2 linked regions of the Struthio camelus genome follow. The protein of the gene in region 1 interacts with the protein of each later gene in a biochemical or structural test. Links are inferred from orthologs where the notes say so. Each region holds a gene or a part of one and is shown on either strand. Other genes may lie near its edges. The genes, in order: FOXA2 and OTX2.

The links.
Region 2: the proteins of FOXA2 (region 1) and OTX2 form a complex in vitro, tested with the Homo sapiens proteins (2 studies listed by BioGRID). The link is inferred for Struthio camelus from reciprocal best matches to the Homo sapiens genes FOXA2 and OTX2.

What each region holds. Positions count from the first base shown.
Region 1 is NC_090944.1:146,428,073-146,442,653, forward strand, and holds FOXA2 (hepatocyte nuclear factor 3-beta), read right to left. Parts: upstream 5,670-14,581; 5' UTR 5,211-5,669; coding exon 5,124-5,210; intron 4,250-5,123; coding exon 2,987-4,249; 3' UTR 2,237-2,986; downstream 1-2,236. UniProt on the Homo sapiens protein: Transcription factor that is involved in embryonic development, establishment of tissue-specific gene expression and regulation of gene expression in differentiated tissues.
Region 2 is NC_090946.1:78,852,214-78,866,773, forward strand, and holds OTX2 (homeobox protein OTX2), read left to right. Parts: upstream 1-7,808; coding exon 7,809-7,905; intron 7,906-8,403; coding exon 8,404-8,555; intron 8,556-10,067; coding exon 10,068-10,688; downstream 10,689-14,560. UniProt on the Homo sapiens protein: Transcription factor probably involved in the development of the brain and the sense organs. Can bind to the bicoid/BCD target sequence (BTS): 5'-TCTAATCCC-3'.

The sequences.
Region 1 (14,581 bases):
CGAGCACTGCAGGAACGGGAAGCATCCCTGCATTTATTTGAGCTGAAACTGTGCTACTGTTGACTTTAGCACAAAGCAAAGATTTCACTGCCCGCTAGTTTAAAAATGAATATTTTACCAAGATATCGATCAGCTTTATAAAATTCAGTTAAGCACAATGGCTCAAAAGGAGAGGGGGGGAAGGAAAGGGACGCAATATAATATCTGTGTAAATTTGCTGAAGTATGACGTGGTGTTGAAAGTTTACCCTCCTGGAATTTGGATCTAGATTTTCCCCCTTTTTTTGTTTACTGACTTTGTTTATTCACAGATCACGGTTGCTTAAACCGGCAGGAGCAGAATGCACTTGTAGTAAGGCTGGGGGCGGGCGAGGGTGGGTTGTGGCGGGGGGGCAAAGGAACGAGAATGGGAAGGGGGTATAAAGAAAAAGAAATGTGTAGTGTGGTCTTCTTTTCCCCCCCCCCTTTCCCTCTCCCTCAAGTCCCCCAGTCCTGGATTTCAGCGTGAACCAGGCCACAGGAAGAAAAAAAAAAGAAAAAAAAGCGGGGGGGAATGTTAAAAAAAAAATCTGCTTCTCGAGCCGGCGTCCAAATGACACCCTTTTTATGTATTCGCACAGAGCTATATCTGATCTGCTGGGATCAGCGGAGTGGAAGACGCTTAAGTAGTTTAAAACTACCATTTAACAATGGCCGTGTGATACAGAACATAACAGGTTAGACCATCACAGGCGCGGCGCATTGTTTCCAAATCAGTGTCATTCCGTGCGCCTATTCTCCTTCCCTGCAGGAGCCTTTTATGTGTTAATGAAACACATTTTATGCCTTGGTTCACAACGTGTGTGTCCTTGCAGTATAGAGACGGACAGATTTCTGGCTGGATCCTTGTTTTGTTTTTGGAAGTTTTTCTCCCTCTCCTCCTCCCCCCTCCCTTCTTCCCTTTTCTCTTTCCGCGAACAATGCGGAATTTTAAGAAGGATTTGAATGTTATTTCGGAAAGCAACATCTATTACTCCCTTAAACGCGTGGGAACAACAACAAGTGGTTGGGAAAACGGGCAGAATATGTATGGCAGGGAGGGGGAAAAAAAATAAATAGTAATAAAACCCACCGGGCTGGCCTGAGGGGTGTTGATTCGGCAGAAGAAACGTTTTGCTTCCAAGGCCGGAGCGTGCGCCGGCTTCAGACCAGCCGAGAGATGTTTAAAGGAAAAAAGCCTCCCCCCGCAGCCCGCTGCTGCCGATTTGTCACCCACCCCCGGCTCTCCCTACCTTTGCAAAAGCAGAGGTAGCCCCTGGGGTGCCTCGGAGGGAGAGTGTGCAGCGGCCGAGGGGCAGAACGCGCACCAGCCGCGGCGGCGGACGGGGCCGCGGAGCCGGAGCGGGGCCCCCGGAGCGGGGCCAGCCTGTCCTCTCCCCGGCTTCCCCAATTTCTGCGGAGGAAAGGGCAACGATACATTTGTATTTCCGACACCCGCCCCACCCCCCATCCCCCCGCCTTTCCTCCTAAATAAAATTACCCGCTGAAAAATCCAGGCGACTGCGCGGGCGAGGAGCTGCAAGCAGGGCAAACCCCGGGCTGCGCAGGGCAGCGGGGGCACCGGGCTTGTTTTTCCCACGCTGCCGCGCAGGGCACCCGCTCTGCCCAGGGAAAGCGAGCCGCGGCGCCCGGCGGGGGCTCGCTCGCCCGCGCCCCGGGGCGCAGGGAAGCGCGGCCGCGGCAGCGCCCCGCCACCCGCCGCCGCCGCTTCCCCCGTCGGAGCCGGCGGAGAGCGGCGGACCCGGCCGGCCAGGCGGGCCCCAGCCGGCCTGCGGCTCCCCCTCACGTCCGGGTTTTTTTTTTTTTGGGGGGGGGGGAAGGTGGGGGGAAGCGGCTTCCTAGGCCACTTTTTCCCTCGCCGGGACAGATGCGCGGGGCTCGGCGCGGGGGGCACCGCTCGGGCTGCCCCTTCCCTGACCGTGCGCTCGCTGAAGTCACGCAGCGCGGAGGCGGCTCGGACACCGGGCCTGAGCCTCTGCGAGCGGCCGGAGCCGAGGCGCAAGGGCCGCGCCGCTGGCGCGATGCAGCCGGCGCTTTGGCGGCCGGTGACCCCGCTCGGCGCGCAGCCCTGCGCGGCCGCGGGGCGCTGGGGCTCGGGGCGCGCCCGGCCGCCCAGCCCGGCCCGACGGCTCGGCGGGGAAAAAAGGAGGAGAGTCCCGACGGAAAAGAGATGCAAGGGGGGGGGAAAAAAAAAACCGCCAATAACACTTTAATATAGTTCTGTGAAAATCTGGCTGCTCGCTACCAGAATACACATTTATAAGCCATAAATAAAGCATACAGAAACGATAAATTAATCAGATCCAAGTAGTTTACTCTCCCGGTAACATCAAGCGTTTGCTTCAATTACAACAATCTATCTTGCTTTTTTTTTTTAATTTTTCATAGTTTTTTCTCTTTTTTACCCCCCTCTTTTTCCTCCTTTTTACAACATTACAAGACTTTTGGTCCTCGGATTCAAAACTAGCGTAGGTTTCACACTGAAGTAGGGTTTCGTTTTGTTTGTTTTTTTTTCCCCGTCACTTTCACACAAAAAAATAGATATATTTATACCTCCCTGCAACGACAACAACGAAAAAAAAAATAACCCCAACAAAAAAAAACTCTCCCCGTCCCCTCACCCCCAACCCACCCCTCCCCACCAAAACAAACCACCCCACAAAGTAAACCAAGGGAATCACGGTCCCCCGGGACATGGGTGGCTTTTGGCCGGCGGGGACCAACACGCCTGCCTTTGGCGTGGGTCGAGATGCTTGCATGACACACATCAGTTGTTTCCCAAACAGATGCAAACATCTGGAGCCAACCAAAAAAAAATAGATAGATATATATGTATATGCACCGTGCTCAACAGCGTTCATAGTCCATCCCTCTGCTAGGGGACTGCGCAGGGGCTGGGGTGGGGTGGTTTTTCTCCCCTTGTGAGGGGAGGTTTTTCCCTTGCCCCTTTAGGAGGAGTTCATGATGGGCCGGGAATACACACCTTGGTAATAAGAAGTCTCTCCGGCTAAAGGGGAGGACTCTAAGCCATTTTTGTTCGTTACAGGTCCCATGGCCAGGCTGCCAGGCATGGGTGAGGCGTAGCCCGAGTAGTGCATCACCTGCTCGTAGGCCTTGAGGTCCATTTTGTGGTGGTGGTGGTGGTGGTGGTGAGGGTGGTGATGCTGCTGCTCAGAGGAGGACATCAGGTTGTTGATGGAAAAGGGGTGGTTGAAGGCGTAGTGGTGCTCAGGCTTGAGATGGGCATCATGGGGCAGGCCAGCGTGTTGGGGGGCCAGGAGGTGCTGCCCTGGAGAGGCTGCTGGCTCCCCGGGGCTCAGCCCTGTCGTGCCCTTCAAGTCAGCCAGGGCACGCTTGTGGTCCTGGCACGGCGAGCTGCTGGCAGGGGACTCAGCACCAGCTGAGCCCTCAGAGCCGCCTGAGGAGCTGCCTTCCCCCAACGGCTGGCTGGGTGGCTGCCCGGGCCCCTTCTTGCCCCCGCCGCCTGCTCCGCCACTTGCCCCACCGCTGTCCTTGGCGGCCAGCTGCTTCTCACACTTGAAGCGCTTCTGGCGGCGCAGGTAGCAGCCGTTCTCAAACATGTTGCCTGAGTCAGGGTGCAGTGTCCAGAAGGAGCCTTTACCTGGCTTATCTGGGGAGCGGGGCACCTTGAGGAAGCAGTCATTGAAGGAGAGCGAGTGGCGGATGCTGTTCTGCCAGCGTTGCTGGTTCTGACGGTAGAAGGGGAAGAGGTCCATGATCCACTGGTAGATCTCGCTCAGCGTTAGCATTTTGTTGGGTGACTGCTGGATGGCCATGGTGATGAGGGAGATGTAGGAGTAGGGCGGCTTGGCATGCGTGTAGCTCCGCCGGTAGGTCTTCGGGTCCCGAGAGCGGTTAAGGTTGGACTGCCCGTAGATGGGGCTCATAGAGTTCATGTTGGTGTAAGGGGCCAGGGCGTTCATGGAGCCGGCTTGGCCCCCCATGGGGCTCATGCTGGGGCTCAGGTGGGTGCCCATTCCTGCCACACCGGCCGAGCCCATGCCAGGCATGGCGCCCGTGCCCGGGGACATGCCAGTGAGCGAGGGGCTCATGCCCGTGTTGGCGTAGGACATGTTCATGGAGGTGGCAGCCGTCATGTTGGCCGTGGTGCTCATGGCCGACATGGTCATGTACGTGTTCATGCTGTTCATGCCCAGCCCCGCGTTCATGTTGCTCACCGAGGAGTAGCTCTACAAGGGCAAATGAGAGAGAGGAAGATTTGGGGGGGATGGGGAACAGGTAGACTTGTAACCCTGCCAGGGGCGATGGCAGCCCCCCCAAGCACAGAAACGGTACGGGGAGACCCCCGCCCCAACCCAGATCGCCGCTTGCACACGAGCTTTTGCAGCCCCGGAGCACCTTGCCCGGCGAGGTGGGAAGGGTTAAAGCTCCTGCGTGTTGAAACGCTCGTTAATGAAAAAAATTAAAAAAAAAAAAAACAAACACGCACACAAAAACAAAAACAAAAAAAAAGAAAGAGATTGCAACAAGATCGATAGACCTGTCCCTGGAAACGAGCCTCGGAGTTGGAAGGAAAAGGAAGGGATATCCCTGCCCGAAGCGACAAAAAATACCCGGCGGGGAGAGGAGGGAAGGGAGGAAGAGCAAAAAGCGACATGCAGCCCTGAACGCGCTAACTTTTGCCTCCCCGAGACGCACCCGCGCCCTGCTCGCCTCTCCGGGGAGGGGGGGGGGGACGCTCACGACACACCCTCCCAAAATACCCCCCCCCGCCCGCCAACCTTTGCACCACGATGTTTTCCCTCCTACCCCTACCTTCCCCAGCCCCCCCCCCCCCCCCCCCCCCCCCGCCGGCGCCCGCTGCCCAGCGCCGAGCACAGCCCTGGCCGGCGTGCGTGCGGCTGCGGGCAGGCAGAGGATCCGGAGCTTCCTCAAGTCAATATTTGATGACCGAGTTAATATTATCCCAGGGCTAACACGGGTGCAGCGGAGGGACGTGTCCCGGGAGGGGAGCGGGCCGGGCCGGGCCGGGCCGGGCAGGGGCCGGGGAGGCGGGCGGGGGCCGGCGGGACAGACGCCCGCCAGCGCCGGCTTTCTCCTTACCTCGGGCTCCCCGTAGTAGTTGCTCCAGTCCGTGTGCTCATGGCCTTCCATTTTCACCGCTCCCAGCATACTGGAAGTGGAGTGCATGGCAGTTTAAAATTTAACAGCCACAACAAACGACGACAGAGAGCAACCCAAAAAAAAAAAAAAAAGTCCCCAGCCCTCCCTCCCCTCTGTTGCGCTCCCTCTGCCTGAGCCTCTGGAGGAGGAGGAAGAGGAGGGAGGGAGGAAGGGAGGGGGGGGGATCGAGCTGCTCTGGGGCTGGGGTTTTTTCCCTGCTGCTGCTTGGGTGGGTTTTCTCAGCGTTTCGCGGCGAAGAGTCGCCCGGAGGCGATGGAGGAGCCGGAGGAGGAGGAGGGAGGAGGGAGGAAGAAGAGGAGGAGGAGGAAGAGGAGGACAAGTGCTGCAGTGACGTGGGTGCCCGAGTGATATAGCACGGAGCCGCCGGGCGAGCCTCCAATCCCCAGGTCCTCGGCTGCCCATTTGAATAATCAGCTCACACCTAGGCGGGAGAGGCTCCTCCGCGGCCCCCCGAGCACCTCTCCGCGCCCCGCCGCCGAGGCCGGGGGGCCCAGCGGCACCGCTGGGGCAGCGGGCCGACCCCTAGGTCGTCTCCCCCCTCTTCGCCCCCCTCCCCGCCCCGGCACCCGCGCTTCTCCCCGCTCCGTAGGGGGAATCCTGCGGGAGCCGATTTCCAGCCTTCCCCGCCGCCCCCGGCAGCCCCGACGGCAGCTTCTTCCCAGTATCCCCCCCCCCACCCGCCCCGCCTGCCCAGCCTCCCCCCCCCCCAGCCCCACGCACCTTTTGCTCCCCGCAGCTGCTCGGAGGAGGCCCCCCCGGGGCCCGGGCTCCCCGCCCCGACGGCTCAGGCCGCCTGCCGGCCGGCGGCGCCCGGGCTCTGCCCCATCTCCGGGCTCGGCCCGACGTGCGGGGAGAGGCGCCCGCGGCCGGCAGCCGCCGTTTAGGCTCCGCCGCGCCGCGCAGCCCGGCCCAAGGTTGCTGGCTCAGGTACCTACAACAATTTCGTAACTAAAACAAACAGGGAGGGGAGGCGGGGTGGGGGGACGGCAGGGTGCAGGCAAAGCGCCGTCGCGGGGCCGGGTGCCTCCTTTGCGCGGGCGGTCGGCGCCGCCGCGGAGCCCCCGGGCCGTGCGGGGTCCCGGCGGCCGGGGGCAGCGCCGCCGCCGCGGGTCCCGCCGCTCCTGCCGCCGGGCTGCGGCACAGCCGGGGCTCCCCAGGCAGCCGCGGCCGGCGGGAAGGAAGGAGGGATGATCACTGGCGAGGAAACCAAAAAAAAAAAAACAAAAACAAAAACAAAAACCCCAAAAAACAAAGCAAAACAACAACAGCAACAACAACAAAAAAAAATCAGCCCGCTTCAAAACCCGCTCGGCTCCTGGCTCCCTGCGGCAGCCCGCTGCTCCGCCAGCGGCTACCTCCCTCTGTGCTGCCGGGCACGTTTGCTCCTGGCGATGTCCACCAAGTGGAGAATGATTTAATGCGATGGTCCAGTAGGGACTGAGCGGATCCTTCCCTGGGAAAGAGGAAACGGAGGAAAGAGGAAAAACCACCGTCTGGTGGCCAAACACCTCCCAGCCCTCGGGCGATTCCTCCTCCAGCAGCATCCTGCAGCTGTCATTGCAAAGTGTAAATCTGCCTGCCCAAAAGACTCTAAAATACACCTTACTGCCTTGATTTCTCCTGTATATTTTTTTTTCTACACGCAATCGGCTTCATATTTCTATTTCTGTATCTAGCTATATCTGTCTTCAAAACACATGGAAAAATATAAATCACTGACCTTCTTTTAATATTTTTTTTTTCCTCCCGAACGGAAAAATGCATCAATCAGCGAAGGTTAGCAATAGTTTCTAAATATCAATACAAACCCAACAGAGAACAGGATTTCATTTAACCAAGGGAAACTCAGACTAAGAGGAAGTCTTTAAAAAGACTTTTCCCAAGACTCCGGCGCCTTCAGGAGCCGCTTCCAAACGAAAAAAAAAACATCAGCTCGGGGAGGGCATGCTCTTATCGCGATAGCTACCGCGATATTCAGGCCAGCTACCTGGCAGATCCGCCTCCTGTCACCACAACCCTTTTCTGCCCATACTTGGCGGGGGGGGGGGGGATCGATTAGCTGTTTTTTGGCTCCAGACTGAGAACGCAACCCAAGGATGCGCCTCTGCCCACCGAGGGAATCGCTTGGCAAGACGCTGAGACAACGGGGAAATAGTATTTTACACCAAAAAGTGAGAGGAGTGATGCTGCCCGGGTGTCCCTCTGGCTGGAAACGGACTGTCCCTTGTGTCCTGCAGGTTAAAAATGGTGGCGGCGCGCCCCCTGTCGCTTGCTGTCCCCAATTTTGGAGGGCTTCGCGGGAGGGGGGGGGACACACATCCCAAATCCCTCCGGCGAGATGCCGTGACCCCCTTCTTCTGGGGCCCTTCAGAAGGGCACCTGCAACTGTTGCCTTTCATTTACGGAGGGCCGGAGAAATCTTGTCACAGCTTCCTAGTCAAGGGGGTTTATCTGCCTCTCCCTGGGTGGCCTTCAGCCCCTCCTTCTTCTCTGCAGACGTGCAAGCGTTCCTATGATTTTTTTTTAAGCCTTCCAATTCGGCACCTACCGCGCCCCTTGCAGAGGGCTGTGCATCATTCGCGTGCGCGAAGAGACCGAACTGGCTGTTGAGGCTGCCTGACACACTGAGACAACGCAACGGTGGCCAAAGGATAGGAGCTGCTTGTTTGTTTGTTTTTCTTTTCATACAACGCAACTACATGGTCCGGGCACGCTGCTGCAGGATTTTCTGGGGGCCAACAGGGTAAATGGGTTCAAAAAGGGCATAGGTGAATTCGTACAGGGTAGGTCTCCTAGTCACAGTGTCCCAGCGAATGCCTTCTCCACTCCTCTCCAGAAGAGAGAAGAGTTTTTCCCAGGGAAGGAATACTCTGCATGTGCCCTGTGTCTTACTTTCATCCATTAATCACCTGCTGTGGGTCCCTGTCCGAAACAAGGTCCTGGGCTAGATTCATCTGACTTTGTGTAGTCTCTCTTACATCCCTCTCCACCCCTAAGTTCTGCATTTCTCTCCAGTTGTCCTTGTCTCCCTGGCTATGGACAGAGCCCAGGCTGATTTTATTCCTGATTTAGGCACCTTAGCTTTATGCCTAACAGTAAGTGTGAACTTGTGCCTAAGCCTCTACCTTCAGGATGGGTCGGGATACAGAGACTATTATCTCAAATCCTATGCATTTTAACAGGGCTTTTTGTTCCTTTGGAATATCCCATAGCAGAGTGAAAAGACTTAGAAAGGGAGAATTCAGTAAAATTAGCAAAGTTTCTTCCAGATACTGCTAATACCATTAGTTCAAAGATCCTATCCAGTCAGCTTCTCATTTGCAGTTAACTTCAGTCATTTAGGGCAACCTGTGGTTAGTTTTAGCATCATTTTTTCCCCTGCGGACACAAAGTGCAGGATGTGAGCATGTATTTTCAACGTTGCTGGATTTAACAGTGAAATTCCTATTGAATTCCATGGGAAGAGGAGAGAGGCCATACGGAGAATTTCCTAGTGCCAATAAACTCACCTGCCTTCAGGCCTTGACCCTGCATAGGCACAGATGTGAACATACTCTAAGTCTGTCACCTCACCAGGAACAGTCACAGGAGGCAAATGCACATACAAAGCTTTGCAGGCTCAAGAATTACTAGTCCAAGTCTCTCACTAACCACTACTTCGTATTAAGTGTGGTTTCCCTTCTGGTTAGCAGGACTTTGAATTTTTCTGCCACAAAAGATGATTTTTTTCTACCTCCAGTCACCTTCCCATGCACGGACATTTTGCAAAGTGACAAAGGGGAATTACTTTCACAAGAGTCCTGAACTGTTCATTCAAATTTTTGCCTAAGATAATCTACTTTCAGGCTGCGCCTGGGCTATAGTGGATGTTCCCACTGCTGTTGCTCCAGTCCTGTCACTTAAATCAAGCTTTTCCTTCTTGGTCTTATTATTCTTGGGTTATTACATGAAGCACCTCCCATGAAGGTGCTTCATGGACTTTCCCCACTATCCAAATCTCTCTCATTCTTCCTCATGTTAAAGATCACTTACTTGGTCCTGAAACCTTTATAAGCAAAAGAAGTTGCCTGCAACATGAATGACCTTTCAGTGCAGTGTGAGATGTGGAGAGGCTCTCGGAAGCCCTCCTGCTTCCCCTCACACAGAGCTTAGCAGCAGCCTGCTCCACTACTAAACCTGGTCATGGGCTGCCTTCTGATGTTTATACATGGAAATCATAAATTCAGAAGAAAACTACTTTTTCTGTCCTAAAGATCCTTCTCTCTCTACCAAGATTTTGTGGTTCATTGCTTGGTTGCAGCAGGCAATTTCAAGAGCCATCGCAGCCTGAGTTCTGCACCCCCTGCAGATCGGCATGGAGGTCTGCTTAAAAGTCATGATCCAATTCATCCCAAGAGCATCAGCAACCGATGCTTTGAAGAGAGGATCAAGTAGATCCCTGTAGGTTCTCATACTGCACACTCTGCAGAGTGGACTCACTCAGGACCAGAGAAAGGATCAACTAAGTGTGCTGGGTGGAAGACAAATGCACCAGGAACTTTCAGAGGCCTTTTTCCTCCTTATGCAAGCTCCTCTTTCAGCAGCCCAGGGGACTTCTGACTGTTAATCTCTGTTTTCTTTTCCCTGTTTTGCATAGAGGGTTGCTGAGGTCCACATCAACGGATATGATGGATGCAGTGCCAGAGAGTCACCTGGAAAGTGAAAGAGCCGTAATACTCATCCTGTAAATGGTTCCAGAGACTTATACTGCGCTTCTACTTCCTCCTTGGCTACTGGGAAACGTTTACAAAAAGGGTCACGGTTCTTCCTTTCAGAAAAACAACTAAGAGTTGAACTCACTCTGTCTCAAAGCCTCCCTTATCATTTGGAGAAAAAAAAAAAGGGAAAAATGTGGGTGATTTTCTCCCTCACAGTTCTCTGGAATAACATGTAAATGCTCTATGTGGGAGCCCTCTGCACCTTCATGCAAGTTCCCTGACAGGGAAATTGGGTAAATCCATCAGCATTAGCCCCCCATTGTTTCAGAAGGAAATTAAACATGATGCTCTAAAGAAAGGAAGCTCCCTTTGCCATTGCTGGCTGCAAAGCCAGATGAAGTTAATGTAGACTTTCCCATGAACTTCAGGGAGCTTTAGTGTTCAGCTTTCCTCTTGTAGACTTTTGACCTCCTCAGGTTGATATATGCTGTAGAATACACCTTGGCTATGTAAAACATAATGAAAATGATTTAGACAGATATGTATCTACTTTAATTTCTATTTCTGTTGTATTCCAGCTCCATGAGTGATTCATCCCTCTCTGCACTTTCTGGAGTGTGCATGAAATGGAAAGCAGCTTTATGGTGCAAAGAAATCTTTGGCTTCACCCTTCCTGACTCTAAAGGATGTGGGGTGAAATTCATCCTGGTGGGAGAATTTGACCTCAAATCTGAGGACAGTTCATGTATCTTCAAAACCCCTCTTTGCTGGCTGAAAGGAGGCACCAGTGATGCCCAAACCTAAAATGAGCCTCTTCAGAGGGTTGAATTAGGATTATTGCTGTATGGGAAATGGGTTTTGGGATTACACATGGAGCAATACCTCTGGATTCACACCCATAGAGATGAGATTTTATTCTATTTGAAGCAAAAGAGCTAAGCGTAGAGAGTGGAAGAGTCTCTGATCTCCATGAGTCAGTGAAAACTGAGGTGTTTGCAGGTCATAGAAGGTCACTTTGAAAATATTCAACCATGGATTTCTTCACCTGCCTGGATGTCTCTCCTGCTAACAGGCACTTGTCAGACCATGCAGCCAGGGCACTCGCCCTCCTGTTTACACCTGCAAAGGATTCTGTATTGGTTTTTATCACTAGGAGATGTGCACCTCCTAGCCAGTGGCTGAGTGAGATAGAAAAGTTTTATTTGAAGTGCTACTCCGAAACAGAGGTCAAAAGATATATTGAAACATAATGAAAGACCTGGTCACCTGCAGTCTTTTAAGTTCCTAGCTGGTCTAATTTTCAGCTTCATCCAGTTGATGTAATCTTCATCATCATATGCGGAACTGGTTTTGCAAGGAACTGGGGTGTTTTTCCCAGTCTGCACGTCCAAGTATTTTCACATACACGTCTCAGGGAATACATTGTCTGCAAGAGTCTATAGCAACCATATCCTTGTGCTGATATATAGGCTTTGTGAAACAAAGACATGCACTTTTTGAGATATGCAATCATTTGCATTCATGCAGGCGGACGTTCAAGAATGGTGGCTTGTTTGAATGTGGCTAGAAATTGTGCTTGTGGTTAGGCGGGTACTGACACGTAAGTCAGCAAAGGGGGATCCCTGCTTCTTAGGCAGACCAGGCCCTACAGCTTCTACCTTCTCACTTTTCACAAGGGTAGCCTTCCACACCATTACCCTGAGGAAACCTATTAAAGTTCATATATCTTAAGAGAGGAAAAAGAAGGAGTAAAATATATATATATATATATATATATATATATATATATATATATATATGCACGCTTGCCTTATAAGAAACGTTCTTAAAAATACCAAAGATAACAAAAACCGAAAATTTTCTGTGGTGTCTTATTTAAACATATCTGGCTGGGTTATTGAGAAATACGTAGACTATTTAAAAATTATTTCTCCTCTTTAATATTTAACTAATATTTATTTTAAATTTGATTTTTAAATTGCATTTTTATTTGCATTAGAAGTCATGACTCAAAGAGCCATCTCTTCCTTTTCAGGGGGTAGAAGGCCAGCAACTAGAGCAAAGTATTGAAAGCACTTGGCACTGCTGGAGGCAATCTCCATTGCTTGCTGGTTGCCAGCCAAGAGGACAGCGGACATATCCACTTCACTACTTTCAAAGCGCTTGCCACATAAACTCATGTGCATGAAAGAGAAAGGGAGCAAGAGCACATGCTCTTGGCTGCTGTGAGCAGGTGCAGATCATGGCCCATCCAGAAGCGCTTGTGCACCAGCGCAAGGTGGGACATCAGCTGTGTTTGCTAGGGATCCTATTGCCTTGCTTGTCGGTAGGAAGGGATGGGCGCTTCTAGCCAGCGAGCCACTCAGCCTATCCTAGACACCAGTCCAGAAGGGAATGAGTTGCCCCCTGAAGTTGCCTGTCTAAACCCATGATCTGCAAAGCCTGTTGGTGCTGCCCCTGCCCTTCCTCCCAGCTGCCTGCAGCCCTGAGACGGGGGCATTACAAACCAGTAGTTCTTCTGCGAGGAGGCTTCTAGACTTCAAAAGCAATTTGCTGTAAGAGTTAGGGCAGGCCATTTCTGCCTTTCTCCATAACTGAATAAGACGCGTTTGTCGGGAAAGAGGGGATGTTTCTGAGCCTGAGACTCACAGGTGCGGTTTGGTGGAAAGCAGAAGTGTAAGCAAGTAAACTCAGTTGGACGCTGAGCAGCAATAAAGTCGGTGTTGCTTGGGTGGAAAAGAGTAAAATCCATGTGCTTGCATTTACCTTCCAGTGTGCCACTCACGCTGCAAAACCAGGATGAATGGTGTAATGAAAAAAAAAAAAGAAACCCTTACCTTATTCTCAGCAACAAACAGAGTAATTATCTCCCTTCCACTGATAATTATCGTAATTAATCCAATATAATGAACTCTCCCAATTGCACTCCTGTTTCGAAATAAATGTGTTAGTTTCTTTTTTTTCTTTAATTGAGGAACTGACTGTCCTGCGAGATAGAAATGCAGACTTTGCCCTGAAGAAAGGAGGCATTTTTAGTAATAACAAGGAAAAGGAGTCCACACTGCTGCAGATCTTGTTAGAGACAAAAGACAACTCACTAGCCAGCCAGGCAGGAAAGGAGATATCCTTGTATGCTTGTACAGTGGGACAGCAATTACTGCCCGGTTTTATTGAGGCCATTCCCTGATAAGGCATGAAAATTATGGATAAATCTATGTACTGAGGTACTAGAGGAAGAGGCTGCACTGAATTTTGCTGCACTCAGGGGAAGCAACAGTTTGGTTTCAGCTTGGGAAAGGGAAGAGTTAGCGGTGGAGCTGGGACAGAGTGAGGGGAGCTGTGATTGCCACTGTGAGATGTGGCATCCGCAGTATTCACTGTCATTTTTTTTATTCATAGGTTTTTGCATTAGGATCCTTGGAAGTAGCTCTTTGTAAGGTCAAGTGACTCTGTTGGATTAGTAGTGTCCCAAGGAGTGTCCGAAGGACTTTCACACCAAACAAGCAAAATAGATAATGGAATCATTATTATCCACATTACTGAAATGGAGAGATAGGCTAAAGAGTCTGAGTGTCTTCACCAAAGTCCTCTGGGTAGTCTTGTGGCAAAGCTGAAAAAAGACCAGATCTCCAGCATGGCAGTCCAAAGCTGTAATCACAAGGCCAGTGTTCAGTATTGTTTCATAAAAGTATTTCAGGATCGTCTTTCTGAAGATGTTTTGAAAGTTTCTGAAGTGTAATGTAATTTCTACTGGGCATGTCAGGAAGCAATACTGTTTGATCATTCAGAGATGCAGATGGGAACTGTTTCAATAAGTGTCATTCTATGGTGAGGAGAATTTTTCACGTATCTGTTGAGTTACCTACATAATAAAAAAAAAAGTCAGCTGCGGCACCTCCAGGGAATTGGTACAATTACACTGTATAATATTTACTTAACTATTTGAAGAACTCTACAGCCAAGTCTCTCCTAATTAGATTCAACATTTAATGGGGCTTCTTAATTCATGAAAATATTTTCCAAGGCTTTAACAAGTCTAATAAAGGAAGAGTCAGGAGTATGCAAAATTTTTGTAATTTTAATATCTTATCAAGAGTCCAAGGGTATCTAATCTTTTTAATACTGGAATGATATCTGCTGGTTCCAGGTCATCACCTGGTTGCCACATAAGGGTCACTGAACAAGTCTAGCCACATGCATCCTACATTCTGCTGAATTTCCCCCAGGCTTCCTATAGATTTATTTAGACTAGTGGACTATGAAGGTGCCCAGGATCATGATTCTGCTGCCCTCTTTAGAGATTTCCCATCCTTCTGAGGTCTCCTACATCAGGAAACAGATAACATCAATATGGACATACTCTAGATACTCTTAGCCATTTGATGCAACTTGTCTATGGAGCAGGTAGAAAACTGATCCCCTGCTGGGTTTCACGAAGGGAATCAAGGAAGTCAGCCATAGGAAATCGCATGCAGTTGGCTTTGCTCTTCTTGCTATTATTTGCTTGTTATCTGGCTGTGTTTTGCAGATGCACATCACCTGTGCAAAGTTGTATGCAATGATTCCTCAAAGAGCAGTCATATTCTTGGTAAAAATGCAAAGAGCGGTTGGATTTTTTGGAAAGATTTTGATTCCAGCAGATATGCACATGAATTGGGTATCATTTCTGAAGTCACATTT
Region 2 (14,560 bases), on another chromosome or scaffold:
CCGCATCGCAGCTCAACGCCTCTGCCGCCCCCTCCTTCCCCCCTCTCCATTCTCCCCCCCCCCAAATTATGAAAGTTGGTTTCATCTAGGCTAAGACGCTGCCTTAATTTTTTTTTAAAAGGAAAACAAAACAAAACAACTCCCCCCTTCCCCAAAGGAGATGATGGCTCTGTCACCCAGCTCCGAGCCACTTGAAAGAGGGGGGCTATTTTTTTTTTAGCATTCCAGCATTTTAAGACGAATCCTACCCTTTCTCCTAGTGACACATGATCTTTGCCGGTGGCGCTTCACTTGCACCCCTAAAAGGGAGATTTGGGGGTGTATCTGTGTGTGTGTGTGGGGGGGGCTTTCGAAAGGAAAAAATTCCCGCTATTGAATTGCAGATAAACTTCAAGGAAAATACGGAATATTTAAACTAGACACAAATCCGATGAGGGAAAAGCTTAAAAGTGCGTAGCATGCATCGCTTTCCGGCGCCGAGCAGAGATACAAAGATGACAAATAATAAATCGGTTCATTCTGGGCTTCGCTTGCCTCCTTAACTTTCGCCTAACCTGAATAAATGATTTCTTTCTTTGTCATAATATACAAACCCAGCAGTTCAGCGCGATTAGCCTGTTGGGCAATACACACAGCAATAAAAACACTTGCGAAACGGTCGCGTTAGTAAGAAGAGTTGAAAATTACACCAAAGGAAGAAAAGTAAACAGAGAGAAAGAGAACAGACAAACACATCTATGCAGAGAGAGAAAAAAAAATGAATGGATATGTAACACAATTGGCATCGGAAGTTCAGAAACTTACTGAGAATCAGAAGTTACAGTTTCTTTTCATCCCAGAAGCAGATTTTGGTTCTCTGAGTACAAAGTTCTTAGAGTGCAAATCACACATATCCACTCACTCCCCGTTTATCCCGAGCTAGTCTCGCTCTCTGGGACTGTACCTGCTCTGAAACTGTTTCCAAAATGAACAGAAGAGATTGGAAAGTTTAAAAAAAATAAAAAAATTAAAAACCGCAAGTTCCTACAGCTGCAGCAAATTTTTTGCAACTTTTCCATTAGCTGCAGAAGGCTGAAGGCAGAAGCAGCTGCAAAGTCTGTGCAGAATTCCTCCAGAAAGAAGGTTCCCCCTTTTTCCCCCTCTCCGATCCAATCTTTGCAAGAGCCATTCCAACACATTGCTAAGCTAAAGGGAAATTCTCTTTGATAAAGCGGTGTTCCCAGCTTCTGGGTTTTAAAACCTAAATCTATATTCAAATCTGGCTGAAGGTGTGTTCTGGGATTTATGAAAGCCTCTTAAAGGGGTAAATTTACCAAACCGTGACAAAATCATCACAATCTTACTTTAGACATCTGAAGTGGATGAGAATTTTTAAAGAGACCCTTGTTTATTTAAGTAACGCTGGCCATCTCCGCCACTTGTTTTATTGGCCGCGCGAATTATCCCGAACTGGTGCGGCGGGAGGGCGGAAAGGGGAAGGCTGGGCTGTCCCTCGGCGGGCCGCGGACCGGCGCGGAGCCGCCGCCCGGCCGCTGCCCCCGCGGCGAGGCAGCGCGGCCGGGCTCGGCCAGGGCTCCAGCCGCGGCCGGCTGCCGGGGCTGCGCTTCCCAACCTGCTCTCCCGGCTCCCAGGCACTTTCTCAGGCACTGAATTTTATTTTTCAGCCTCTGCCGCAGCCCGGCTTCCTCCAGCCCTGAACACCCCTCCCTCCATCCCATCCCTTCTCTCTATCTTTTTATATATATATATATATTCTTTCCCTCTTTATTTTTAATCGATTTCGAAAATACCCTCCTGGTCAGGATACACGGGAAGGAATTATCTCTCTCATTCTTCCAAGGTGGATTAAGGTTATTAAATAATATGTGGGGGCGGGAGACGATGGCAAAGGACGGGTGGTGGGGGGGGGGGGGAAGGGTCGAATCGGGATATTTATTACTGTTGCTCTACTAAAGGGGAGGCTGAGGGGTGGCGGGGCCGTGCCGACATGCGGGGAGGTGAGAGGGAAGGATTTTCCGGGGGAGGTGAGAGGGAAGGATTTTCTAGGCACGGCTCTCCGAGCAAGTTAGGGGTGGGGGGAACTGCAAAGGGACGGGGATCTGCAGCCACCGCCGCAGCCTCAAAAAAAAAAAAAAGGAAACAAAAAAAAAGAAAAAAGTGTCACAGCTCTGGGAAAAAAAAAAAAAAGAAGAAGCTAAAAGCAGTGGAGGCGCCGCGGAGGGACGGGCTCAGCGCGGGCCCGGGCCGCCCCCGCGCACAAACTTTCCGCGGAGTCGCGGCGCGGCAGCGGCCGGAGCGGGAGAAGCTCCGCCGCGGAGCCGGCGAGGGCTGAGGCTGCTTCGCTTTTGTTCAAGGGGTTATTTTGTTTGTTTGTTTGTTTGTTTGTTTGTTTAATTCCCCCTCCTCTCTCCTCCCTCCGTTCCCTTCTCTCCCCCCCCCTCCTTCCTCCTCCTCTCTGTGAAGGGGGAAAAAAAAAAAAAGGAGTCGAGCATCCGAAACCTGCTCCTACAAACCACGAGCTCGGGCTGCACCGAAAGCAGCCCTTAATTGCGCTAAGTCCAGCGACAACCGCATTTGATTGCACACCGCCGGGCTCAGAAAGAGCCACAAAGAGGCGAATTAATTACTATAACTTCATTAACATAGGTTGCCACATTAAAACGATCGAGCCGCTTCATTTTTTTTCTCCGCTGTTGTCGGAAGTGAGGAAAAGTGTGTGCAAGGCGGTTGGCGGGGGGCTGATCTCTCCTTCGCTCCGAGCTGAAATGCCTCCCACCTCTGAGATCTTTTAGTTTTTCTCAAGGGTTGTTTTAAGGGCTGGTTTAACGGGCTGCGCGCTATGGAAGGGGAAAAGTTGATGGCAGAGATGGGGCTGAGATTGAGCCCGTCCCGCGCCCGCCGCCCTCCCGAGCGGCCCCTTTCCCAATTTCGCCGCGGTTTTGACCGCGGCTAGAAGTGGGCAAATATTCCCCTTCAACACCCTCGTCACCGCTCCTCTACCCCTTTGCTGCACTGACTTTATTTGTCTTAAAATCTTTGCCTGCCCGTAACTACAAATGCAACGCGCCTCCCCAGCATTGTATACCAGACATGCACATTTATATAAATAAATAAATAAATATATATATATATATATATATATATATATATATAGTATGTATATACATACACCCCGGGATGGCTGATGGCTCATTTCCCCTGGCTACCCCTCGCCCTGTGGCTGCTTGCGCGGCCGCGGAGGCCGGGCCGGGTCCCCTCGGGCTCCGCGCGGCCCCCGCGGGGCTCTTCTCCCCCCCGCTCCGCGCTGCTCCCCCGATGGGCTCCAGGCAGGCTCCCCCCCTCCAAAAAAAATGTTTACTTATATATTTTAATATCTTTTGTTGTTATTATTGTGCCCCCCAGCCTTGTGCCACCCCTTTCCTTTGCCGGGCAATACGGGAACGCGATCTCTGCTGTCCGTCACGTTAATTGTACAATGAGTTCATAAGCTCCGGTCCATAATGTATATTTTTAAATCGAGCAGGTTCTTTTAATGTATATTCTCGTGTCATTTCGGTGGCTGTTATTTCTCGCTTGATTGTCCCCCCGGTACAGCAGCGGCCTGTTTTTTCCTCCCCCTGTTGTGTGTTTTTATTATTTTCCCCCTGGCTTAGATGTGTCAATCACTCTCTCCCTGCCATTGGTTGGAGAGTTTGCGTCAAAAAGTTGCCAGAGAGGCGCTTTCTCAGCAAAGCTCCCCGAGAGAGGTAGAGACCTCAGCTCCAACGCACCCTGCCACTATTATTAAAAATAAAATCGCTTGACCAGCTCCGGCACCGGCTAGCTCTGTATGTACCGAGCCCAGACCCCGAGCATCCCTGCATCCCTCTCCTGCACCATCCGCCCTTTCCTCCCTCATTTATTCTTCTTTTCCAAACATTTTTTTTTTCTCTCTCTCTCTCCCCCCCCCTCCAATTCGGTGGGCATGTGCACGATGCGAGCTCTCTAACCTCCCGCTTTGTGCTTTCTCTCCCAGCTCAGCCCGACCCTTGAATTCGGCGAGGATCAGGGGGAGCAGGCTGCACCCGGCGCCCCCCAGCCCTGCCCTCGGCCCCAGCGCGGCTCGCAGGTAAGTGAGATCCACCCGCTATTTTCCTTCCGTCGGGGGCATTTGCCGTCGGGCCTTTTCTCTCCGCGGGCAGGAAATTAAAAAAAAAAAATTAAAAAAATTACAATTATAATTTTTAGCAAGAGGGTGGGAGTGGGGGCCCCGCTCGCCTCGGCGGCGGCGGGCGGCAGGGCACAAGGCGGCTGCGGGCCGGGACGGGCCGGGCTGGGGCAGCCGCGGCCGCTCGGCCCTGCGCGGGCGGCGGGGCCGGCGCGGAGCCCTCGCGGCTCTGCCCCGGTGCCGGGGTTTCGCCTCTGCCCCGAGGGCATCGGCTTCATGAAAATGCAAGAGAGCGGAGGGGATAATTGCGGAGGCGGGGAGACGCTTCCCACGGATTTTCTCGCCTCGCTTTATTTTGCCGGCCCCGGGATGTCTCCCGTGGGCAGGCGGAGGTCGGGGCGGGCTGCTTTGCGCCGAGCTGGCCGTTCGCTTCTCTGCAGACAGGCGCGTTTATCCGCCGCCGTTTCGTTGAGGGCATAATTTTTCCGGCCTGATCCTTTGAGCTTTACCTCCTCCCCGACCCCACCTGGACTTCCGAAATTAGAAATAACTGGCAAGACATTTCCCGCCTCCTCCCCGTTTCCACCTAAGATGCTCGCTGCCCGTGCAGAGAGAGACTTGAGCGAAGTAATTCGGCAGAGGTGGCCCTGAGCGCTGCCGAGTTTGCGGCCGGAGGTTTGGGCAGGGAGCAGGAGGGAGAGACACGCGGAGGGCGTCGGGGGGCTGGAGCTTCGTGTCTCGGCGCGGGGCTGCAGCTGCCCTCCAGGCAGCCGCCTCCCGCGCTGTCCGGCTTCGGGAAGGCGCTGCCGGAAGACACCGAGTCGGCTGTAACGCGCGCTGCTCCGCGCCCCGGCCCGTCTCCTCTAAACACCACCCGGATCGACAGAGGCGAAATCCGCTCCGCGCAGTCGGCCGAGTCCTCGTGTACAAGTTTCTTTAGTGCTATGCAGGGATTTGTTTCTGTGTGGGACCCTCCGAGAAGCTGAGCTTTATTATTATTATTATTATTATTATTATTATTATTATTATTATTTTTAAATATGCAGCTCCCATAAAAAGCAGTTAACAACGCGGTCTGGCGGGGAGGGAGCGGTGGGGCAAACGGTCCAGCAGCAGAGGTGCTGCCGGCGGAGGCCGGCTCGGCCGCGGAGGTGCAGGCGGCCGCGGAGCCGCGCGGAGGGCCGGGCTGCTGAGCAAGGGCGCGCCGGGCTCCGCCGCCGTGCTGGGAAATAGCACAGCGCATCCCTCCCTCCGAGAAAAAAAAAAAAAAAACATTTTTCATTTTTTCTTAATGCGGTGGAGCCAGGCGCAGGGCTGGAAAATCGAGCTTTTGCTAGTGAAACAAGCAAAAAAAAAAATTACTTTCCTATCTCTGCTCGTGTGCGCACGCTTTATGCCCCCCTCTGGCCGCTGCCCCGCGGCGGGGCGAGCCCGGCGGGGCCCCCCCGACGCCCCAGCTTCCCCGCAGCTCCGGGAAGGGCAGAGCCGGCGCTGCCCCTCGCAGCAGCCGCCCAGCCCGGCCGCGTTTTGTTCCCTCGCATTAATCAGCCCGAGTGATCAGCAGAGCCGCGGCCGCTGTCCCGTAATTAGGGAGCGTGTGCCGCCCGGATTATCTCGTTAGTTTATCAAGAAAACATTTATTATAATTAATTCTTGGACGGGGTAATTATTATTGAGCGAGGGCAGAGCAACTGGTAGCCGGGATCTTTGCGAAAGCCGGAGGCCGGGTGGCGGGGGGGGAGACGGGGGAAAGGTGACAGATTGCGGAGCGGAGCCGTTGCTCCGCGGCGGCCCCGGGCTGCGCGGCCGCGGCCGAGCGGCGGAGAGCGGCTCCGCGGGCGGCCGCGCTGCGCGGGCGCCTCGGCGGGCCGCGGGCTGGGCGTGCTGCCCCTAGGTTTAAAAGGCCGTTTGGTCTTTTTTGTTATTATGATTATTTATATTATTTGGGGGGAGGGTGGAGTTGCTTGTTTGTTGGTTTGTTTGTTTGTCCTTTAAGGGAGCATCGCAGTCAGCGTTGCTCTCCCGCGCAAGCCTGCGCGGCCGAACGCGTTCGCGGCCCGAGTTGCGCCGATGCCGGTGCGGAGCGCGGCTCCCACCAGCCCGGAGCTGTCCCACTTCAAACCTCTCCCCCCCCCAAGAACTGGGGGTTAAAAGCGGGGATCGACCCTGGGCCGAGCCGCGCTAGATGCGCGCCGCCTGCGCGCACGTGAGTTAACGCCGGCGTTTCGCAAAGCGGAGCCTGCCGAAGCGCTTCCCCGCGGGGCAGGAGGGAAACTTTTGCAACGCGTTTAAAAACGCCGGCGGTGGGAAAGGCGGAGGGCGGCGGGCCGGGGGGACGCGCAGGGCCCCTCCGCCTGCGCGCAGCCCTCCGCGCTGCCGGGGACGGCGGCTCCCACCGCCCGCGGGCTTGCTGGCCGAAACGGGGTGTGCGCGGGAGCAACTTTTCCCGCTACTCGTTTTGTTTTGTTGTGGTTTGGTTTTTTTTCCGACGGTCGCTGCCAACGGAGCGAGATTTGGGGGAAAGAAAAAAATAAAAAAGAAAAAAGGGGAAACAAGTAAATGATTTGCCAGGGGAAAGGAAACAATTTAACCCTTGGAAGAGCCACGAGCTGGCCCCTGGCCCTTTGTCCGCCATGCTTTGGAGGAGCCCTTGTTTGGGGGGGGGGGGTATGTGGGGCCCGACCCACCGCCTCCCCCCCGGCCGGAGCCCCCGGCGCCGAGCGGGGGGACCCGGCGTCCCGGCCGGGCCGCGGGGGGAGCCGGGCCGCTCAGCGAGGTGTTTGTTTAGCTTTAGCTGCGTAATCAAGAGTTTCTTGAAAGCCTAATAAATCTGTTACTTGCCTCCAAATCTAATTACCCGCAGTACTAATTAGGTGCAAATGGCCGGTGGAAATTACTGCAGACGTGGAATGATCGCGGTAGAGCAGAAAAGTTTGGCTCTTCCCGAGCGGGCATTTGAGCTCTGAAATGCAGCAACGTCGGGGGGAAAAAGGGGAGGGGGGGGAGAGGAGGTTTGAATGTTGCCCAAACCTGGGATAATTAAAGTCCTTGCAAGAGACTAGGGGAGAGATAGGTTTCTTGAATTGTTTCTTTGTTTCTCACCCTTGGGCTTTGTTATCTGCATTATTTATTTAGCCGAGGGGTTCTTTGTGTCTGCGAATGGCCCCAATCAAGTTTTGCTTGAGACAATTAGCTAGTGCCCGGCCGGGAATCCTATGCAAATGCCCGGGGTAGCGATACAATGCGAGCAGTTGAAGGCATGGGGGGGTTTTGTTCGGCTGCAGAGCGGGCTGCAATTACTGGATGGGATGTTACAACCCCCCCGCTGCCCTTCTCCTCCTTGCCTTTTTTGGGAGAGATGCCGTTTATCTAGTCAGTCTCTCCCTGGCTCCCAAAGCCGGCTGCCGGGCCGGCTTTTTAAGAGCTGAAGGACTGGCCGGGGGAGCTGCGGACTCGAGCCAGGCGAGCGGCGACAAGCGACAGCCCGTCTAACCCCCCCCCCCTCCCCACCCCGCTCTCGCCCGCAGGCGCCCGGCGGACCCCCGGCCCCGACGGCAGCCCCGGCCCCGACGGCACCGCCGCCGCCTCGCCGCCCGGCCAGGCAGGGCCCCCCTCGCCCGCATTTTCGGCCCGCTCTCCTCCTCCCCACCACTACTTTAGCATGATGTCTTATCTTAAGCAACCACCTTATGCAGTGAACGGCCTGAGTCTCACAACCTCAGGCATGGATTTGTTGCATCCCTCCGTCGGCTATCCCGGTAAGCCACGTTTTTCTCCTTGCTTTCCCCACCACCAATTCCTCCTTTCTCTTCTGGCCCCACGGATGTCCCGAGCAGGGCAAGAGGTCAGGCCTCTGGAAGTGGGGGGCACAACATGCCCAGGGACCACAACCCCGGGGCTGATGGCTGCTGAGGACAAGGGTCCCTTTTCCGCCCTCCCTGAACTCTTTAGCCAGGAAGAGGGTTGAAAACAGGGGGCGGCTTCATGCTGGACGTGGATGTTGCTGATCCAGGTCACGGAGGAAAGATGGGGAAGGTGCATCTGAGGTGGCACGGCTGCAAGGAGGCAACCGAGGACCTGGATGCGGGGTGGGGAAGGCCCTAGAGAGCTCCTTCCCCTATGGGGGGCAGGTCACCCTAGGAGCCACCTGCCCCCCTGCGGAAAGGCCTGGGGGAGCGGGCTGGAGGGAGGGCAAGCTGTCCGCCAGGCCCAGGGGCACCCGAATGACAGCCGGGGCCGCCGGCTCCTCTTCGCAGCCACCCCTCGGAAGCAGCGGCGGGAGCGTACCACCTTCACCCGGGCGCAGCTCGACGTGCTGGAGGCGCTTTTTGCCAAGACCCGCTACCCCGACATCTTCATGCGGGAGGAGGTGGCGCTGAAAATCAACCTGCCCGAGTCCAGAGTGCAGGTAGGAATCAGGATGTCCTCGCCTCGGACGTCCCTGCCTCCTGGCCACCTCCGTCCCGGTGCGCAGAGGCCTCGGCCGCTCCGCCGCTGAGCGGGCAGGTGGTGATGCCGATTTAGCGGATGAGGCCAGCCCTGGAGGGATAAAAAGCCCAGAGTTTCTTCCCTATGGGGCCAGGGAGGCTGGTAGACGGGTGAGGGACGGCAGAGAGGTTGCAGGGGCGACAGTAGAAATCTGCCCGTCCTTGGCTTGAGTCTGCCCTCCCCTTCCTCTCCGGGAAAGGGACGTGTGTATGTTGCGGAGGTCTCCAAAGCACCTGGATCCCAGCTCCTGAGCTCCTGAACCCTTCCCGGCACCCTCGGTCTCTGCACCTCAGGGAGGTGTCCCCAGCATCCCCAGGCCCTGCAACAGGCCTTGGCCCAGGGGCCAGATCCTGGCCCTTCCCAGACTGTCTTGCAGGAGTTTGGGGCCGCCGGAGAGGCAGTGAAGGCTCTCCCTTCCCTGGGGATCCCACCGAGGGATCCCACATCCTTGGAGCTGGGCCAGACGGGGATCCCATTTCATGCCAGTTCACACTGGGGCTTCCTCTCTCTCCAAAGGGACTTTGATTAGAGAGAAAGGCGGTCTTGCAGGAGGGGGAGCTTCTCCTGAAGCTGGGCCGTGTCTCCTCCAGGAGCATCCTGCAGGCGTCCATCCAGGGAGGGTTTCACTGGGTTCTTGGGAACCTGCGCTCCCCCGTCACAGATCCCGGGGACACTTCTACAACGAGCACCTGCAGCCAGGGCAGGGCAGCTCCAAAGCCCTTGGCTCTCCCCGTACGAGGTTTCCCAAGGCCCTGGTCACCCGATACGCGTGCGGCCGTGCCCCACCTAGCAGGTGGGGACCTGGACTCCCCCCCCCCCCTTACTCAACCACAGGCTTTCGCACTCACTAAACCCTAACTTTCCCCTGCAAAAGCTCCCCCACCGCAGGCATGGGAGCAAGGATCCCTTCCTGCTCACAGGCAGCCCCCGATCCCAGCCCACGGAGCTTGAGAGGGACTGGGGGGGCCGACCCCAGCTGGGGGGGTGAAGAGCAGAAACCCTATTTAGAGAGTAAATGAGACATCTTTAACCCCCCCCCCCAACCACCACCTCTGTTTCCCTAATTGTTTCCTCCCTTTATGATGCTCTATTGTTTCTAATTAAGGGCTTGACTTCAATAGGCCTTAAATGGTGATTCCTGGGGGTCCCCGGCTGGCAAACAGCAAATAGGGAGTGATTTCCCCCCCTTCCCCCAAAAGTGACCTTATTAAGCAGTTTGATTTGCCCATTTCCACTTGTTATTACTGCTAATGATCTCAGGGAGGGGGAGCCACGGAGCCTTTCTCTGCAGTAGCCTGCAAACCTCCGCACGCTGGGGAGAGCTTTTGCTCCCCTCCAAGGTCCCCCCTCGGCCAGCTCTTGCCCCCTTGGGTTCGTGCCGTGTCCCTAATACAAGGCTTCTCCCTCTCCCTCCCTCTCTTTGGGTCTCAAGGTGTGGTTTAAAAACCGTCGAGCCAAATGCCGCCAGCAGCAGCAACAGCAGCAGAACGGGGGCCAGAATAAAGTGAGGCCGGCCAAAAAGAAGAACTCGCCAGCCCGGGAAGTAAGTTCGGAGAGCGGGACCAGCGGGCAGTTCACTCCCCCCTCCAGCACCTCGGTCCCCACCATTTCCAGCAGCAGTGCCCCCGTGTCCATCTGGAGCCCAGCGTCCATCTCCCCGCTCTCAGACCCCCTGTCCACCTCTTCCTCCTGCATGCAGAGATCCTATCCCATGACCTACACCCAGGCATCAGGTTACAGCCAAGGATACGCTGGCTCGACCTCCTATTTTGGAGGGATGGACTGTGGATCTTATTTGACCCCTATGCACCACCAGCTCCCTGGACCGGGGGCCACCCTGAGTCCCATGGGTGCCAATGCCGTTACCAGCCACCTCAACCAGTCTCCAGCCTCCCTCTCCACCCAGGGCTATGGAGCCTCGAGTTTGGGCTTTAACTCAACCACCGATTGCTTGGATTATAAAGACCAAACCGCCTCCTGGAAGTTAAACTTCAATGCTGACTGCTTGGATTATAAGGACCAGACGTCGTCGTGGAAGTTCCAGGTTTTGTGAAGGCCGGCGGGAACCTTTGTGATACCCCGAGAAACCGCGACGAGAACGAACACGCTGGGCTGAACATTCCCGTTTTAGTCAGGTCTTGGTTAAATTAAAGAGAAAACAGTTCAACGAACAAACGGACAAACGAATGAACAAAAAAAATAATAATAATAATAAAAATAAAAAGAGAGACAGTGTTGGTGTGATCATATTCAGATTCATCTCCTGCTCAGACGCTCTGGAAAAGGAATAATAAAGAGGAAACGGAGGAAGAAGGCCTTAAACGGACAGATCATCTAGTGAGCAGAAAACAGACAGACCAATCTGTGTTCTTTATAGTTTTAGGCAATTGTTGGGTTTCTTTGTCTGAAAGAGGTGGAAGATCATTCCATCGACGGGCCAGTTTTAAAAAAAAAAAAAAGTCTAGGTTTTTATTTCTTTTTGTGTGTGTGTGGAAAGATCCTTCACCCAGAGGTTTCCAATGTGTTAGCCAACCCTTGGTTAAAATATTCGGAATGGACAGCATCGCTCTCCGTCTTTCTCTCTCTTTTTCTCTCTCCCTCTTTCTCTCTCTCTCTCTCCAGCTCATTCAACTGTTTCATGCCACTTGCTCAAGTTGGCGCTGAAAGAACTCGGTTCAGGGCTGTGTGGGTTGTGTGACTGATTGTCCTAGCTGCACTACTTTATTTAAAGAAAAAAAAAATAATGTTCATAAGGAGTCAATATGTAGTTTTTAAGAGACAATCAGTGTGTGTCTTATATAAATGGTACATCTGTGGTTTTTAATCTGTGCTAGACTTCAAAACTGTGATCTCCTGTATTGTATGCAACTACGAACACCGCGCCAGCGGGAGTTCTGCTGTGATTTAAATAGGTTATAATTATAAGTGAAATTCAGAGCAACTGGGGTACCTATTATCATCTTAAAAAAAAAATAAAATACAATATATGTTAAAAAAAAAAAAAGCGATCGCCTTTCGCCAGAGGTGAACTGCACTGAAACTTTTTACAACAAACTGTCTCTGAATGAAAGAGAAAAGAATGAAAAAAACACCCAAGGACATTAAACTCCTCTGTAGTTAACTTACTGTTGGCCACGCTAGCAGTAACAATAAAATAAAACAGGACATTGGGCAGTTGCTCTGACCTGGATGAATTTAAACTGAGAAAATCATTGTCGTTTATGCTTGCAGATGTTAACTGAAGAAAAAAAGATATATATGCATAAACCTTTTTTCCTGGATTTGGCAGATATGTATAATTATATTAAAATGGTTCTAGCACACTTGATTGTTGTCTTCCATTTTAATTGTATCCAGTGAGTCATAGAGAGGGGGCAAAACAGTCTGCGGCGGAGATTTCTTGTTCAAAGTGAGGTTAGCGGGGACAGGAGGAGCTCGCTTGTTCTGCAGGCCAAGGCAAAGGCTGCCCGGCTCTCCCCAAATTTTCTAGCCCGGTTCCCCCTAGGTGCGTTTTGATTTGTGGACAGTGAAGAAAGCGCAATGAGATTTTTTTGGTGTGTGGTTTTGTTCGTTTTTTTTTTTTTAAGTAAAAAACGTGCATTTCAGCCAGATCTGGGCTAGCGTGACCCGGCCCTCGTGCCAAAATCCCATCCTTCGTCGGAGGCTGTCTGGAGGCGAGGGCAGGTATTTGCTACCTGCGTCCCCACGGGAGGCGCGAGTCGCTGGACGCCTTGAGGGACATCCCGAAAACTTTCCCGGCAGGAGAAGGGAGCACCTGGGAGTGATTGCGGCGGAAGTCGCCTCCGCGCAGAGGTGCTGGGGAAGGAGCAGGGGCAGGCTGCGACGGTTTAATTTCCCGAGCCGAGCGCCCAGTGCCCCGCGACGCAGGGAGGGATCAGGCCCCTTGCAAGCGTGCCTGCTCGGGGTGGCTCTGCCTGCCTCCTGCTCGCACATAGCTGTGCACCTCGGGTCTGGATTTAGCCCCCTTAAAATGCAGCAAAAAACAGACTTCTGGGGAAAAAAAAAAAAAAAACAGAGAGAGGGAGACAGGGGGGAAAAAAAAAAAAAACCACGGAGGTCAGCTTGCACCTCCGCGCACCCACCCTGCTTCCTGCGCCTGGGCGGCTCAGGGGCCAGCGGCCCCGGAGGTGACTGTCGCCTGCCCGCGGCAGCGCCCAGGGCCGCCGACGGCACCGCTCGCCCGCGGCGTCTCCTGCCGCTGCCCGGCGGCGCCCCGCGCTCCCTGCGCGGGCTGCGGCCCCTCGGCGGCCGCGGGCGCACGTGGGCCGAGCCGCTCTGCCGGCGCCCGCGCTGCCCTCCGCCTTGCCGCGCGGCCCCCCCAAGAGAAAGGGGTGCAGCGACGCGATCCGGCTGCGGGCGAAGGCGAGTGTGCAACGCCGCTCCTTGCTCCCGTTTTTACCTTCTCTCTCCTTTCAGGCCGGAGACTCTCGGCGGGGCAGGGTTTGCAGAGGGCAGAGCCCAGCGGAGGCTTTCGGGCCCTTCCCGAAGGACGGGGGAAGCGCCCAGCACCTCCCGCGGCCACCGACGCTCCCCCGCCGCCGGGGCCGGCGACGTGTGCCGGTGCGGACGGCGAGACGCGGCCCCGCCAGCAGGAGCTCCGGCAAAGCAAAGCGTAAAGTTTCGGTTCTCCGCCGCTTTGCCTTAAACCGGCGAAATGTAACCCAAGGGGAGCGGCGTAAGCGAAACAGCCGCCGGGAGAAAACCCCTCCTCGCTCCGGCGGGATGCGGCTCTACACCTGCTCGGGAAAGCTCTTTGTTTTGTGGGCTTTTGATTATTTTATTTTTTTAAAGAAGTCTTTTAAAGATCTCGTTTTCTGCTTTGCTTTTCCCATCTTATCTTTTCCTTTTCCTTCCCGAGCAGCTCCATGCCTTTCGGGGATGAGCTCTTTTGACTGAAGCTCTTTTAGCAGAAACACTGATTCATTTAAGGATTTTCTCTTAACGCGGCCTCGCATTTAGCACTTTCCATATTTCCTCTACCTGTTTGTTTCTGATTTTAATTTAAATGGGCGCTCACATGGGCAAAGGGCAAAATCCCAGGGTGACTGGCACATGCAAAATAGTATTTAAAAAGTTTTTTAACTCCTTTTTCTTTTCTTTTTTTTTTAATGTTTTAGATCTCCCGCCTGGCTAAACTCATTTCCTCTGAACCTCAATGTGGGAAAGGGAATTCTGAATTAAATAAAATGAGTGGAAAAGCTAGGGGGACCACGTCTGCTGAGTGTTGCAAAGCCAGATTTAGGTGCAAACCTCTGAGTGGACGTGTGTTCATTTGCTTTGAGGTGACCCTCTTCGTCCCTCCAGAAAGAGAAAATACTAAGCAAATCTCTCCCAGTTTTGCAAGGTGAAGTTTCCCACCAGAAGGAAAAAAAAAAAAATCCAGCTCCCCAAAAACCAGAAAAAAGGAGGCAAGGCTTGACCGCCAGCAGCTGTAGCTGCCTCAAGCGCTGCCTCCTCTCCCCTGCCCACCCTCTGCCTGGGCTTTGCTTGATCACTGCTCACCCCTTGCCTGCTCCCCCTGCCCGCTCCCTGCCATCCCCTGCCCGCTCCCTGCTGACCCCCTGTCTGATCCCTCCTCAGCCCCTGCCCAGTCCTGCCCACACCCTGCCTGCACCCTGCTCATCCCCTGCCCGTCCCCTGTCTGCGCCCTCCTTGCTCCTGCCGACCCCCTGCCTGCACCCTGCCTGCTCCCTGCTCATCCCCTGCCTGCTCCCTCCTTGCTCCTGCCGACACCTTGCCTGCTCCCTGCCTGCTCCCTGCCCGTCCCCTGCCTGCTCCCTGCACCTCCTGCCTGCTCCCTCCTTGCTCCTGCCGACACCCTGCCTGCACCCTGCCTGCACCCTGCCCGTCCCCTGCCTGCTCCCTCCTTGCTCCTGCCGACCCCCTGCCTGCACCCTGCCTGCT